Macaca mulatta: one gene and its partners. The protein of the gene in region 4 purifies or fractionates together with the protein of the main gene of each other region. This does not show direct contact. Links are inferred from orthologs where the notes say so. Each region holds a gene or a part of one and is shown on either strand. Other genes may lie near its edges.

Region 1 (3,521 bases), on a different chromosome or scaffold from region 4:
TCAGAAAGAGGAACGACTGTGGCTGGGCTGGGTGGCTCACGCCTGTAATCCCAACACTTTTGGTGGCTACAGTGAGCTATGATTGAGCCATTGAATTCCAGTCTAGGCAACAGAGCGTCTCTGTCTCAAAAAAATAAAAATAAAAATAAAGATAACCCTCAGATAAACATTCATTGGTCACCTTTGGAAGCTGCTAGGGTATCAACTCAATACTGAAAATCAATAAATAATTCAGCATTTATCTTGTTTTTCCTGTATGAACTGAATTTCAGAGAAACCAAGTAGATGGCAAGGCAAATGTCTTCATAAAAAAATTATGACTAACCAATGCAGAACAACTAAGATTAGAAAAATCGCCATTTAAAAACCCCTTAATGAAATAATGGATCCAGGTATGGTCACTGATGGGTAAAATCACTAGGTGAAAAAGTCAGTAAGGAGCTTTTAAATGGATAGATCACGCTAACACCACCCAAATATGATAAATAAGTGAAAGTACGGGGGAAAGAGGAAGCAATCAGCCAAAATCCAGAATAGTATATTCGATAGGACAAATGACCTTCAACAAACAAATGACATAATAGTGGCAGTGTGGGGTAGGGTTGTGGAACTTGAGACATTTCAATCAAGTGGGTGGCCCTTGCCTGGATCCTGATTTGAACAAACCTATTAGGTATAAAAGACACTTCTGAGACAGTTGGGTGAAATTTAACATAAACTGGGTATTAGAGGATATTAAAGTTCATGTTGTTGGATGTTACATTGGTATAACATTAATAAAAATTAGAAAAAACATCACCACCCTCTAAAATTGAACTTAGAATACCAGATCAGGGTGCAGGTGCTGGCTACAGCAACAATCAGTGCTGATTGGGAGGAGGCCCAAGCGCACAGCAGGACAGACCTGATCAGACCTCAAATAAAGCCAGAGCCCATTAAAGGGCTATACGCTCAGGAGGAGGGTAAACCAGAGAAAAAAATTACCGTAGAGGCAGACAGTAAGGAAATTTTCTGACTTGCTTAACACTAGTGGGAGGAGATTCTAGTGGAAGAAATTCTCATACGTGAGAATTCATATGGCCACTGGCTGATCCTCATGGAGTTTGGAGTCTGAATTCACACTATTTGGAACAGTCTGAAAAACCTGTAAGCCTTTGATCCAGTAATCCCATTTCAAGGACTATTTCCCTGGTTAGATGTAACTGAAAAAATACAAAATGATGTATGTACAAAGTTAGTCAACGTGGCCTTGTTTGTAACTAAAAAAGGGTGGAAACAATCCAAGTGTCCAGTAGAGGGAACTGGTGGATAAATTTTGGTGCAACTACATAGTGGAGTCCTAGGCAGACCTAAAAATAATGGAATGATCTCTGTATGCTGATGGGGAGGAATCTTAGGGATATTTTGTGTGTTGTTTTGTTTTTTGAGACAAGGTCTTGCTCTGTCACCCAGGCTGAAGTGCAGTGGTAGGATCATGGCTCACTGAAGCCTCTACCTCCCAGGCTCAGGTGATCCTCCCACCTCAGCCTCCTGAGTAGCTGAACTATAGGTGTGAGCCACGACACCCAGCTAATTTTCCTGTTTTTTGTAGAGACAGGTCTCACTATGTTGCCCAGGCTGATTTTAAACTCGTGGGCTCAAGCAATCCTCCTGTCTTGGCTTCCCAAAGTGTTCGGATTACAGACGTGAGCTACTGCACCCAACCAGTTTAGACCTTTTAGTCAGTCACCTTTTCTTTTTTTTTTTTTCCAATCAGCTTTCTCAGGTTAAATTAATCACCTGTTTTTTAAAAAACTTAACTCAAAAGCTAATAATTGGCCGGGCGCGGTGGCTCAAGCCTGTAATCCCAGCACTTTGGGAGGCCGAGACGGGCGGATCACGAGGTCAGGAGATCGAGACCATCCTGGCTAACACAATGAAACCCCGTCTCCACTAAAAATACAAAAAAATTAGCTGGGCGTGGTGGCGGTGCCTGTAGTCCCAGCTACTCGGGAGGCTGAGGCAGGAGAATGGCGGGAACCCGGGAAGCGGAGCTTGCAGTGAGCCGAGATCGCGCCACTGCACTCCAGCCTGGGCGACAGAGCGAGACTCCGCCTCAAAAAAAAAAATAAATAAATAAAAAGCTAATAATTAAAAATGGAACCATGGTGAGTACTGCCTCAGATGCCTGCAAATGTAAAACCTTTCTGGACAAATGTGCTCCCTGCCCTAGAAGACAGAAGGGATAGGAATGGAGAAACCTACAAGCACCCATGGGTCCTGACAAGGCCTGGGATTGATTGGTGGTAATCGCACCTTGGAGGCAAAGCGTAAAGAGTTGAGGGACTCGGAGACGTTCTCTTCCAGTGGAGAAATGTTCACAAACATGAGCCTATGAAAACAGAATATGCCCAGTCCCAGCATTAGGGGCCAGCAGAGCCTGGACAGGTCTCCACTGTTCCCCTCTTTCTACCCCTCACCCCAACACAGTTCCTACCTGAACCCTTCCATCTGTCCCTTTCACTCACATCTTAGCACTACCACCCAGAGAGTTCTGCAGCAGGTAGGTCAGTTTGCTGTTCCGGTAAGGCACATGGGACTCCTACATGATTGAGGTGGGGACAGATGTTTAGGAATGGGCAGAGTTCTGCACAGCCAACCCCAACTGGCCCCCAGGTCCCATATCTCCCCCCACTCCTATTCCCACCTTGTTACTCAGGGCCATGATAACTAGCCCCAGCGTGGACAGGCTGCTGTTAATGGCCTGTGTTTCCCGAAGGCGTTCCCGCTCCCCGGGGCCGAGGGCTAAGCCAGGGTCAAGTCGCTCACTCCCGGCCAGGTCCACAAGACTGAGGGAGGCCCCACACTGCAGGCCTCGGCTGGAGTGCTCCCCAGAAATCTGTAGCTGGAATACACTGTGGCTGCGTGATGACCGTTCATTCTGGGCTGTGCGGGCCACAGCCCGATTCTGGCGGGCCAGATGAAGCAGGGCCTCCACCTGGGGATGGGAGCAGAAGGGGCAAAAGGGCAGGCAGAAGTCAGTACATAGTAATATGTATGGAAATAAGTAAGATCCCACCCCCACTCTCTCGAAGCTTTCTAGCCTGTCAACAAACAAAATTAGATGTACAGTATGTCTGAAAATGGTAAGGAATACATAGAATAGGGAGTGTATAAAGGCGGGGTGGGGAACCAAGTTTTGACAGGATAGCCAAAGATGGCCTCATTGCCGTAAGATCTCCAGGAAAGGAGCATCCAGGCAAAGGCCCTGAGATGGGGAGCATGACTAGTTGGTTGAGGAATAGCCAGGAGACCAGCATGGCTAGGATGAGCTGAGCAAGGAGATGAGACCTGAGATGCAGTGACCCTCCCCATTTCGGCAGCTGCATCACTCCCTCGCCACTCCTGGGTTAAGGCAGATCTACCTACAGCCCACAGGCCAAAACGGGATGTGGTAACCCAGCCTCACAACTTGTACTTCATCCTTCAATTCTCTCCTGCTCCTTTCTCTCTCTACCTCCATCTTGTGGCACCCTGCCCAC
Region 2 (3,521 bases), on a different chromosome or scaffold from region 4:
TACAAAAAATTAGCTGGGTATGGTGCCACATGCCTGTAATCCCAGCTACTGGGGAAGCTGAAGCAGGAAAGTCGCTTGAACCCAGGAGGCAGAGATCGCGGTGAGCCGAGATCGTGCCATTGTACTCCAGCCTGGGCAACAAGAGTGAAACTCTGTCTCAAAAACAAACAAACAAACAAACAAACAAACAAAAAAAAATTAGCTGGGTGTGGTGGTGCATGGCTGCAATCCCAGTTACTCAGAAGGCTGAGGCAGGAGAATCGCTTAAACCCAGGAGGTGGAGGTTGCAGTGAGCTGAGATCATGCCACTGCACTCCAGCCTGGGTAACAGAACGAGACTCTGTCTCAAAAAATAAATAAATAAATAAATAAATTCTGTACTAGTCATATTAGGATTTTCTGTGATTTTCTATGATATTTCTTAAGAGTTTCAATTGACTATAAGGGAGTAGCAGAAGTACTTGAGGTAAAAATAGGTAACAGTGAAGGAAAAGCCCTTCTTACAGGCTGCTCTCTAATGTTAAATTGAAGACAGAGATGGCATTATCCTTCTAGCCACCAGCCTTTCCCATGTCAACCATTCTGTTTATTGCACTCTTGTTCTCATCGAGGCTAACAGGGAAAACTGAAACATTCTTCCATGGTAACACTTCCATCAATATAAAAATAAGCCTCATAAATCTACATATATTTTGCATTTCAAACTTGTTAAATGCAAAATACTGATAGTTTACTTTAAAATTAATTTTGTTAAAAGATATTCCATGTGGTTATACAGACACATAAATATATGTGTATGCACATAGCCTTCCATATCCATGGATTCAACCATCTGTGGATTGAAAATATTTGAAAACAACAAAAAACTAAAAAAGAAAAAGAGAAAATAATACAAATTTTAAAACAATACAGTGTAACAACTATTTACATAGCATTTATATTGTGTTAGGTATTATAAGTAATCAAGAGATTAAAGTATATCAGAGGAAGTGTGTAGGTTACATGGAAATACTACATGATTTTATTTTTATTTATTTATTTATTTATTTATTTATTTATTATTTTTAAGACAGGGTCTCACACTCTATTGCCCAGGCTGGAGTGCAGTGGCATCATCATGGCTCACTGCAGCCTCAGCCTCTGGGCTCAAGTGATCCTCCTGCCTCAGCTTCCCCATAGCTGAGACTACAGGATTGCACCACCAGGCCCAGCTAATTTTTTTTATTTTTTGTAGAGATAAGGTCCCAGTGGGGTCCCCAGGCTGGTCTTGAACTCCTGGGTACAAGTGATCCTCTTGCCTCAGCGTCCCAAAGTGCTGGGATTACAGGTAAGAGCCGCCACACCTGCCCCTACACCATTTTATATATAAAGGACTTCAGCATCCACGGATTCTGGTATCTGGGGGGGTCCTGGAACCAATCCCTCACAGATACCGAGGGATGACTATATGTGTATAAAGATTTCTGTAGAAGATCAAATGGGGGAATGATTAGATAAGGCAAGTGCTAATCCATTTTAAATGACTCTACCAAACAATGATTTATGTATGCTTTAAAAATACAACTACTGACCAGGCGCTATGGCTCACGTCTGTAATCCCAACACTTTGGAAGGCTGAGGCGGATCACGAGGTCAGTAGTTCGAGACCAGCCTGACCAACATAGTGAAACCCCGTCTCTACTAAAAATACAAAAATTAGCTGGGCGTGGTGGCACACACCTGTAATCCCAGCTACTTGGGAGGCTGAGGCAGGAGAATCACTTGAACCTGGGAGGTGGAGGTTACAGTGAGCTGAGATCAGTCCATTGCACTCCGCCTGGGCAACAGAGCGAGACTCCGTCTCAAAGAAAAAAAAAATTACTATTGACCGGGCACAGTAATCCCAGTACTTTGGGAGGCTGAGGCAGGTGGATCACCTGAGGTTGGGAGTTTGAGAAGAGTCTGGCCAACATGGCAAACCTTCTTCCTATTAAAAATACAAAAATTAGCTGGGCATGGTAGCATGCACCAGTGGTCCCAGCTACTCGGGAGACTGAGGCAAGAGAATCACTTGAACCGGGGATGCAGAAGTTGCCATGAGCTGAGATTGTGCCACTGCACTCCAGCCTGGGTGACAGGGCAAGACTCTGTCTCAAAAAAATAAAAAATTAAAAAAAAATACAACTATTGCAGAAAGTAAGGTAAGCATAGCCAAGAGAAACTTTTGTAGTTGTAATCTGGTGGAAAGAAGAAACTATGGGTACTTAATCCACCAAATGGCCTATTATCCATCATAAAAGTATAAGTAAATTTGAAAATACAGAATAACTTAATGGCCAAATTTATTATTACAAATTATAAAACATAGTTTCCTCTGCTTTTTCCATTACTGGCATATTATTAGTGATTCTCAACCTTTTATATATTGGGAAATCTCATGACTATTTTCCTTAGTAGACCTGTCCAAACACTTCTAAAATATATAGAATTAGAAAACTTAAGGCCGGGTGCAGTGGCTCAAGCCTGTAATCCCAACATTTTGGGAGGCCGAGGTGGGTGGATCACGAGGTCAGGAGTTCAAGACCAGCCTGGCCAAGATGGTGAAACCCCATCTCTACTAAAAATACAAAAATTAGCCAGGCGCAGTAGCAGGTGCCTGTAATCCCAGCTACTCAGGAGGCTGACGCAGGAGAATGCTTGAACCCAAGATTGCACCCGAGATTGCACTACTGCACTCCAGCCTGGGCGACAGCAGAGTGAGACTCTGTCTCAAAACCAAAACCAAAACCAAAACCAAAAACAAAAAACAAAAAAACTGGTTTCCTTATTGGTGAACGCAAGATAATTTTTCACAGAAACATACATAGGAAAAAAGATAAATAACATTAGTCACAATCATCATTGAAAGCCTTTAATGTCACATCTAGTGTGGGAACAGAGTGGTAATGCTGCAGTTTCTCTCACCTTTTTCCCATTTCTAGAGTTAGCTGTCTGTACTGGTTCCATTCCCAAACAGTTCAATTCTGCCTTATTATTTTTTTTACATCTTTGCCACTTCTGTTTTCTGCGATCTTCCATATACTGCAATAGAAAAAAGTCAGTTATCCTACAGGAATAGAAATTTTCTGTGGAGTAATTATTAAAGTACTAGTGTCTTTTGTTTGATAATAAATGCTTATTATATAGATAAAGGATTAATCCTAGTGGAAAACTGTCATTAAGTGGGATCTCTCCAAAAAATATTAGGTGGTTTATATAATAGTTCAATAGTAAATATTTGCCTAGCACTTAAGGTACTTCAACATTATTTTATTTTGGGCATCACAACTGTGAGGTTGGAAGACTGGGTATTACTAATTATTACCCTTATCTTGCAGATACAGAAATGATGATATAGTATGTCATACTTTCTCTTTCTCATGCAGCTTAAATACCGAAGGAATGACTTTAAATCTTGCTGGATGGGACTGCCACTCACCGCTAGAAATCGGGGATCAACAGCAAACTCTGGATGACCCTGTAACCACATCTCCAGTTCAGCC
Region 3 (3,521 bases), on a different chromosome or scaffold from region 4:
TCCTGGGTTCAAGCAATTCTCCTGCCTCAGCCTCCCAAGTAGCTGGGATTACAGACACGTGCCACCACGCCTGGATGATTTTGTATTTTTAGTAGAGACAGGGTTTCACCATGTTGGTCAGGCTGGTCTTGAACTCCTGACCTCAGCTGATCCACCTGCCTTGGGCTCCCAAAGTGTTGTTTTCTTATTGTTGAATGTTGGGAGTTCTTTGTATATTTGGGAGACAAGTGCTTTATCAAATATGTGATTTGCAAATATCTTTTAGTATGTAACTTGTCCTTTCATTCTCTTAGCAATGTCTTGCAAAGCCGAGGTTTTCAAAAAAATTTTGATAAACTCCAACTTATCAACATTTTCTTTCATAGACTACTATTGGAGTTGTAGTCCAACAATTCATTAATAAAGCCAAGGTCATGTAGATTTTCTGTGTTTTCTTCTAAAAGTTTTATAGTTTTGCACTTTACACTTAGATCTAAGATTATTTTAACCCTTAAAAGGACACAGAAGTTAAGCAACGGATGAACGAACAAACGGTGATATACATCTGTACAATGGAATTTTAATTGGCAATAAGAAGGAATGAAGTACAATATGGATAAACCTTGAAAACATCACGCTAAGTCAAAGTAGTCATACATAAAAGACTACATATTCTATTATTCCATTCATAGGAACTGTCCAGAATAGGCAAATCTATAATAAAGACAGAAAATAAACTATTCGTTGTTAGAGACTGTGGAAAGAGAGGCTGGGAAATAAATACTAGTGGTCACATTTGGGGGTGACGAAAATGTTCTAAAATTAGGACAGCGGTGATAGTTGCACAACTCTAAGATTATAGTAAAAACCAGTGACTGTAAATCCAAAGATTTTACACTTTAAAAGGATGAATGAATTCTGTGGTATGAATGATGAATTATATTTCAGCAAAGCTGTTATTAAACATAAAGATGTAGAAGGAAGACTGGCAAAATGAGGCTAGGTGATGGATACACAGGGATTTATTATATGATTTTTTCTACCTTTATATATATTTGAAATTATCCATTAAACAATGTGGAAGGGAAATGTTATTCTAAATGAGAAGTGGTACAGCATAAATATTTGATAAATAAAATCACTAATAAGCATCAAATTCTTATAACTGATGTTACAGTTCTTATAATTCTTGTTTTATTCAAAAATAAAAACTTGAAGCAACATATGTAAGTGGATATTTGAGGAAAGGTCTACTCACTGCCACAGACTTAACAGCTTGGAAATTATAAAATTTGAATTATAGCTTTAATTCTTATGAAATGTGTATTGAAGCAAACTTTATTCTAGGGGAATCTCAGCTCCTCTGATGTCTAAATCAGTGAGATTAGGGGCAGATGTCCCTGAGGGAGCAAGCTCTGGAGCGAGAGTGGGACAGGATGAGGAGCAGGAAAAACACACGTGTACTAGAAGAGAAGCTCCACCAAGGCAGGAATCTTTCTACGACTTGTTCATTAATGTATCCCAAGCACTCAGAACAGTGTCTGGCACACAGAAAATACTCTTTGTTGAATGAGAAAGTTAGTATGTTGGGATAAAGTAAATTATCCTATATACCATAAAATCTAGGAAAAATGTTCACAGTTCCAAAGATTCTTCACTGAAGACAGTAAAGTAGTTTTAGATCTTTGGGTGGGTGAGACACCAAGAACCAACTGTGTAGGGACAAGTCTAAGCAGTATCTCCAAACCAATCCAACATGAGCTAAATTTTTAAGTCTTTTTGGACCAGCTGTTCTAAATCATGACATAACTTCAAGAATTCAAACTTGAAGCAACATATGTAAGTGGATATTTGAGGAAAGGACTACTCACTGCCACAGACTTAACAGCTTTGATAAGCTTTTTACTTTCCAAATTCTTCAGGATTTTGTTGATTTCTGTTAATGGCAAATTACTTTTATAGCGGATATCTCTGCTCCATATTCCTATGAGAAAGTAAAGTAAAATAAGTTGAGCTATGTTTTCATGGATTTTTAATTTTATTCCTCTAACTCGTATCTCATTCCAAAGCTAGCAGTATAAAGCTAACGGTAAAAATGAAATGACTTAGAGGTAAGAACCTTGGCTAAAGTAGCAAAAGTATGCCAAACAATAAATAAGTCTAATGCTTTATAAGATTTATTATTATTATAATGATTTATAATTTCTAACCAGAAATTTCTTGGAATCCCAGTGTGGCACACTTTTAAAAATTTTATGGAAAGGGCCGGGCACAGTGGCTCATGCCTGTAATCCCAGCAATTAGGGAGGCGGAGGCAGGTGGATCACTTGAGCTCAGGAGTTTGAGACCAGCCTGGCCAACATGGTGAAACTCTGTCCCTATTAAAAATGCAAAAATAATTAGTGGGGCCTGGTGGCGTGCACCTGTACTCCTAGCTACTTGGGAGGCTGAGGCACGAGAATTGTTTGAACCCGGGAGGCGGAGGTTGCAGTGAGCCAAGGTCACGCCATTGCACTCCAGTCTGGGCAACAGAGCGAGACTCCGTCTCAAAAAACAAACAAACAAAAATTATGAAAAGGACATTTTTATAATGGAAGGAAGAATCATGGATGCAACAGAATTAACTTATATCATCCGTACCCTTAATTCTGTTTTCTGATATTTTCATTTTAGATTGTAAATGTGAAATACAAACTTAAATTTGGGTCAAGGTCAACTGCCATCCTCAAGTGGGACAAAAACACTCTTTAGATGAGTGTCTGCATGCACGTAATCCATTATTTATACAACATTGTATTTGTGAGATGGAAAAAGGAAGCCTAGGGTTCTTATAGCTGCTAAAAGCCCTGTGTGAGAAGCAATGATTTCTTTTTCAAAGAAGGAAATAAGTGTTATATATGGAAAGGGAATGTATGTAAACATTTTGCTTTATTTTCTTCCCAATGTAGTGGCATAATGAGACAGGAAGATTAAAAAAATATGCAGAATGGCCTTCTCATAGGACTATTTTAAAAAATGTTAATTTTAATAAATATAAGAATTAGTTATATAATTTCAGATTACATCTCAATTTTTCAAGCTACTATCAATGACTCAAATAGATCCTAAATTATTGTAATTGAGGATTGCAATCTAGATACAGTTCTTCAAGGGGGGTAGAAGAGGAACTATAGTGCAGAGGGACATCCATTAAGACACTGCTACACGACACCGGCTTTCCTTTTGGTCCTTGCAAAAACGAGAGGTGTCAGCATCCACAATTTATAGGTAAGATGAAGAAACTGAAGCTTACAAAGTTTAAGTAACTTGTCCATGGTCATATAGCTAGAAGGTACAGATTTTTTTAAAAAAAACTTAAATGTGATTTATTTTGAATAGATAATACATTCATGTGACTCAGAATTCAGAAGTCTTTTTCCATCCCTGGCCATAGCCCTCTAGTTCTTGTCTCTTTCAAGGCAACAATGGCCTTACTCTTGGGTGTCCTTCAGGCACATGCATGTTATATTTGTATGTTCTATTCCCTTCCTCAGCATACTCTG
Region 4 (3,521 bases):
TTCTCCTGCCTCAGCCTCCTAAGTAGCTGGAATTACAGGCGCCTGCCACCACACCCGGCTAATTTTTTGTATTTTTAGTAGAGACGGGGTTTCACTATGTTGGCCAGGCTGGTCTCAAACTCCTGACCTCGTGCTCTGCCCACCTCAGCCTCCCAAAATGCTGGGATTACAGGTGTGAGCCACTGTGCCCAGCCTGTAGACTCAACTTCTATATGTAAAAATCTCTAGAATCTAAAGTTGATGAGTAGGACTTACCTACCACCAATCACTATGACAAAGTGCCATATGCTGGTATGCTTGGATCAATTAGGGATACAACCAGAAGAAAAATATAAGTTATTCAAATTTTTTTTTTCTGAGATAGTTTCACTCTTCCGGCCAGGCTGGAGTGAAGTGACATGATCTTGGCTCACTGCAACCTCCACCCCTGGCCCAGGGTTCAAGCGATTCTCCTGCCTCAGCCTCCCAAGTAGCTGGGATTATAGGTGCCTGCCACCACACATGGCTAATTTTTGTATTTTTAGCAGAGACGGGGTTTCACCATGTTGGCCAGGCTGGTCTCGGACTCTTGACCTCAGGTGATCCACCTACCTTGGACTCTCAAAGTGCTGTGATACAGGCATGAGACACCATGACTGGCCAAGTCATTCAAATTTAATTTCACCAAAATTCAGTATGAAATTGGGACATTAAATCAAGTAAGTAAACAGATGTGATGAGTTCACATAAACGCCCGACTTCGATTCAGGTCCCATCATCCACTTGTCATCTCTTTCATCTTTGATAATGCCTGCCACATTTTTAATCAAAGGTGTGGCCCACCTAAACAGGCTGTCTGAATCTGTGGCTTACTAGTGACTAAACTTACAACAGTTGCCCTCCCCCAGGTCTAAATAGTAAACTGATTATTATCAAGTTCAAATTCAAACAAAGCCACCTTGATAGGTCTTACCTGAAAGATATTTGAAATGGCATCCAAGATAACCAGAATAATCTTGGTATCTTTTGCAGTTAAGAGGTTCATCAACGGTTCTATTATGCCACAGTGAACAAGGTACACAATCTGCTCAACTGTTCCACCACTAGTGTAGTTGGTCACGGCCCATACAGCTTCCTTTTGTGTCTTAAAATCTGCCTATTAAACATAAGGAAATGGTTTTATTTCAGAAAGTTGCAAGAATAAGTTTCCAGGAGTACTTTTTCACAAAAACAATGACTCAAAGTACCAAGGTTCTATCCAACTGTAAGTGAAAGGGGTTACTGGGTATTTTTCAGCAAAGGACTCCAAGTAGAACCCAAGATTCTTGCACGTGAAGAAGCTTATCAAGCAGAGCTTTCTATAAATACTAAAAATGACTTGATTAAATCCTAAGACTTCATTACCTTAGAGAGAACACTGACAAGGAATGGGACTAATCCATGATTCACAACTTGCTGTATCTGGTCCTGACGGCCAGCTGTGATGTTTGACATTGTCCATGTAGCTTCCTTCTGAATGTTAGTTTTGGGGTTGGTGAGCAGGCTGGGAAAGACAGCGAGCGCTCCTGCATCAATTACAACCTGAGTCTGTTCATCTGTACCAGTGACAATATTCCCTATGGCTCTTAGGGCAGGAGTCTGAAAAAAAAAAAAAATGTTGATGCTGGTTTTTTCCCAGCACTTCAGAAATTCTGTACCCTAAAAGTTTTAACAAGAGGCCCATCATGGGTATGAAATAGGTAATATTTCAATATTAGTATCAACTGATAATGCTTTTTTTTTTTGAGAGACAGGAGTCTTGCTCTTGTCACCCAGACTGGAGTGCAATGGCACGATCTCGACTCACTGCAGCCTCTGCCTCCCGGATTCAAGCAATTCTCCTGCCTTAGCCTCCCAAGTAGTTGGGATTACAGACGCGTGCCACCACATCCAGATAATTTCTTTGTATTTTTAGTAGAGATGGGCTTTCATCATGTTGGCCAGGCTGGTCTCTAACTCCTGACCTCAGGGGATCCACCCGCCTTGGTCTCCCAAAGTGCTGGGATTATACAGGCGTGAGCCACCATACCCAGCCCTGATCATGCTTTTTATACTTATGTCCTAATCTACAAGTAAATAACTTACCACAATTGGCAATTCAGAAGCTCCTAGAAGCTTCACAAGTTGGGGCACAACTCCTGTTTTCACGACCATGTCAATTCGTTCATTCGGACCGTCAGTAAGGTAGGAAATAGCCCAGCAGGTATCTGCTAATACTTCTGGATCATCATGATGCAGGAGCCGAACTAAGGTAGGAAGAATCTGCTCAACAGCATCTATTGGGGGTGCAGGATTCTTGTTGCGGCAAAGATTTGAAAGTGTCCAGGTAAGATTACGTAAGTAGCCACACTAGGGGGAAAAAAATAGGCAATGAGAGGTTCTGTCTTTTGAGAAGATGGGGGAAATTAGAATGAAGAAGTGAGTAACTTTATTCATGTTAGTAACTTACTGCTAAAGATGACATATCAGGAACCGCAAGGAGAGCCAACAGTGGGTCAACTGCACCATACTTAATAACCAAGTCTCGGAACACTGAGCCGTCACCTGAAAAAAAAAGCAAGATTAATTTTATTATCTTGTCCAACACCACCAATGTTCAGTGACTGATGCACCAGCAAAAACTCCCAAACGTACTTAGATGCCCCTCTGCTGCCTTTGTAAAGACGACACTTTCATTCCTAATAACGGCTTGAAAGCAAGCTCAAAACTTGACGAAGTCGTTACTATTTATAAGGCCTTTCTTTGAACTCATTACGCTTAGATACATTCAGTCAAAAGAACTTCAAGTCCAAGTACCTGCAATGTTTCCTAGAGCCCAGACGGCTTGTTCACTGATGTGAGCATGGGGAGATGCCAACAGAGAGATGAATGCTGGGATGGCACCTCCATCTACCACAGCCTTGGTCTGTTCTGATGTCCCAGAAGCAATGTTAGTGAGTGCCCAAGCAGACTCAAACTGAATGGGACTACAATCAGTTCTGCCCAAGAAGGACACAAATTTTGGAATCAAACCAGCCCGGATTATGCTGTCTATGGGGGGCTGTTTTTCTCTAGAAAGTAGTTTCCTAAAGGGGAACAAAAAGAGAAATAAAAGTTGAAAGTGGTTAACAAAAGGAGTTTGTGTAAAAACCAATTTAAAATGCAATTCAACAGTTTAGAACTTCAGACAACCTTTTAAGTAAATCACTAAATGCTGAGACATTCTGGAATCTAAGAGAAGCTGAACAGATTACCTATATGGTGCTATATATGCGGTATCATTAACTACCATTTTTCCAAAAATTAATGTAGATTACCCTCCTCTCCATCCCTGCAGAAATCTACAAATCTTGTCACTTTTTAAAAAAACTTTTGACGTTCTGACAGGGTTAGATTCCCATTGTTAACTGAATTTGTTCTCCCTGATAGTTGTGGTTAAGCACATTTTTCTTTTTGAGACGGAGTCTCGCTCTGTTGCCCAGGCTGGAGTGCAGTGGCCGGATCTCAGCTCACTGCAAGCTCCA

What was found. Proteins that work in one complex are often made in the same cells at the same time.
Region 1: the proteins of KPNA2 (region 4) and KIFC1 purify together in Homo sapiens (co-immunoprecipitation; 4 studies listed by BioGRID and IntAct, with this or other methods). This does not show direct contact. The link is inferred for Macaca mulatta from reciprocal best matches to the Homo sapiens genes KPNA2 and KIFC1.
Region 2: the proteins of KPNA2 (region 4) and CHD8 purify together in Homo sapiens (affinity purification with mass spectrometry; 4 studies listed by BioGRID and IntAct, with this or other methods). This does not show direct contact. The link is inferred for Macaca mulatta from reciprocal best matches to the Homo sapiens genes KPNA2 and CHD8.
Region 3: the proteins of KPNA2 (region 4) and POLR3F purify together in Homo sapiens (co-immunoprecipitation; 3 studies listed by BioGRID and IntAct, with this or other methods). This does not show direct contact. The link is inferred for Macaca mulatta from reciprocal best matches to the Homo sapiens genes KPNA2 and POLR3F.

Annotation. Positions count from the first base shown.
Region 1 is NC_133409.1:148,872,555-148,876,075, forward strand, and holds part of KIFC1 (kinesin-like protein KIFC1), read right to left. Parts: intron 2,978-3,521; coding exon 2,687-2,977; intron 2,582-2,686; coding exon 2,508-2,581; exon of another isoform or gene 2,477-2,507; intron 2,372-2,476; coding exon 2,296-2,371; intron 1-2,295. UniProt on the Homo sapiens protein: Minus end-directed microtubule-dependent motor required for bipolar spindle formation. May contribute to movement of early endocytic vesicles. Regulates cilium formation and structure.
Region 2 is NC_133412.1:94,251,764-94,255,284, forward strand, and holds part of CHD8 (chromodomain-helicase-DNA-binding protein 8), read right to left. Parts: coding exon 3,458-3,521; exon of another isoform or gene 3,405-3,457; intron 3,061-3,404; coding exon 2,944-3,060; intron 1-2,943. UniProt on the Homo sapiens protein: ATP-dependent chromatin-remodeling factor, it slides nucleosomes along DNA; nucleosome sliding requires ATP. Acts as a transcription repressor by remodeling chromatin structure and recruiting histone H1 to target genes.
Region 3 is NC_133415.1:65,525,024-65,528,544, forward strand, and holds part of POLR3F (DNA-directed RNA polymerase III subunit RPC6), read right to left. Parts: intron 1,964-3,521; coding exon 1,851-1,963; intron 1-1,850. UniProt on the Homo sapiens protein: DNA-dependent RNA polymerase catalyzes the transcription of DNA into RNA using the four ribonucleoside triphosphates as substrates.
Region 4 is NC_133421.1:77,794,128-77,797,648, reverse strand, and holds part of KPNA2 (importin subunit alpha-1), read right to left. Parts: intron 3,084-3,521; coding exon 2,815-3,083; intron 2,563-2,814; coding exon 2,468-2,562; intron 2,368-2,467; coding exon 2,104-2,367; intron 1,618-2,103; coding exon 1,384-1,617; intron 1,136-1,383; coding exon 953-1,135; intron 1-952.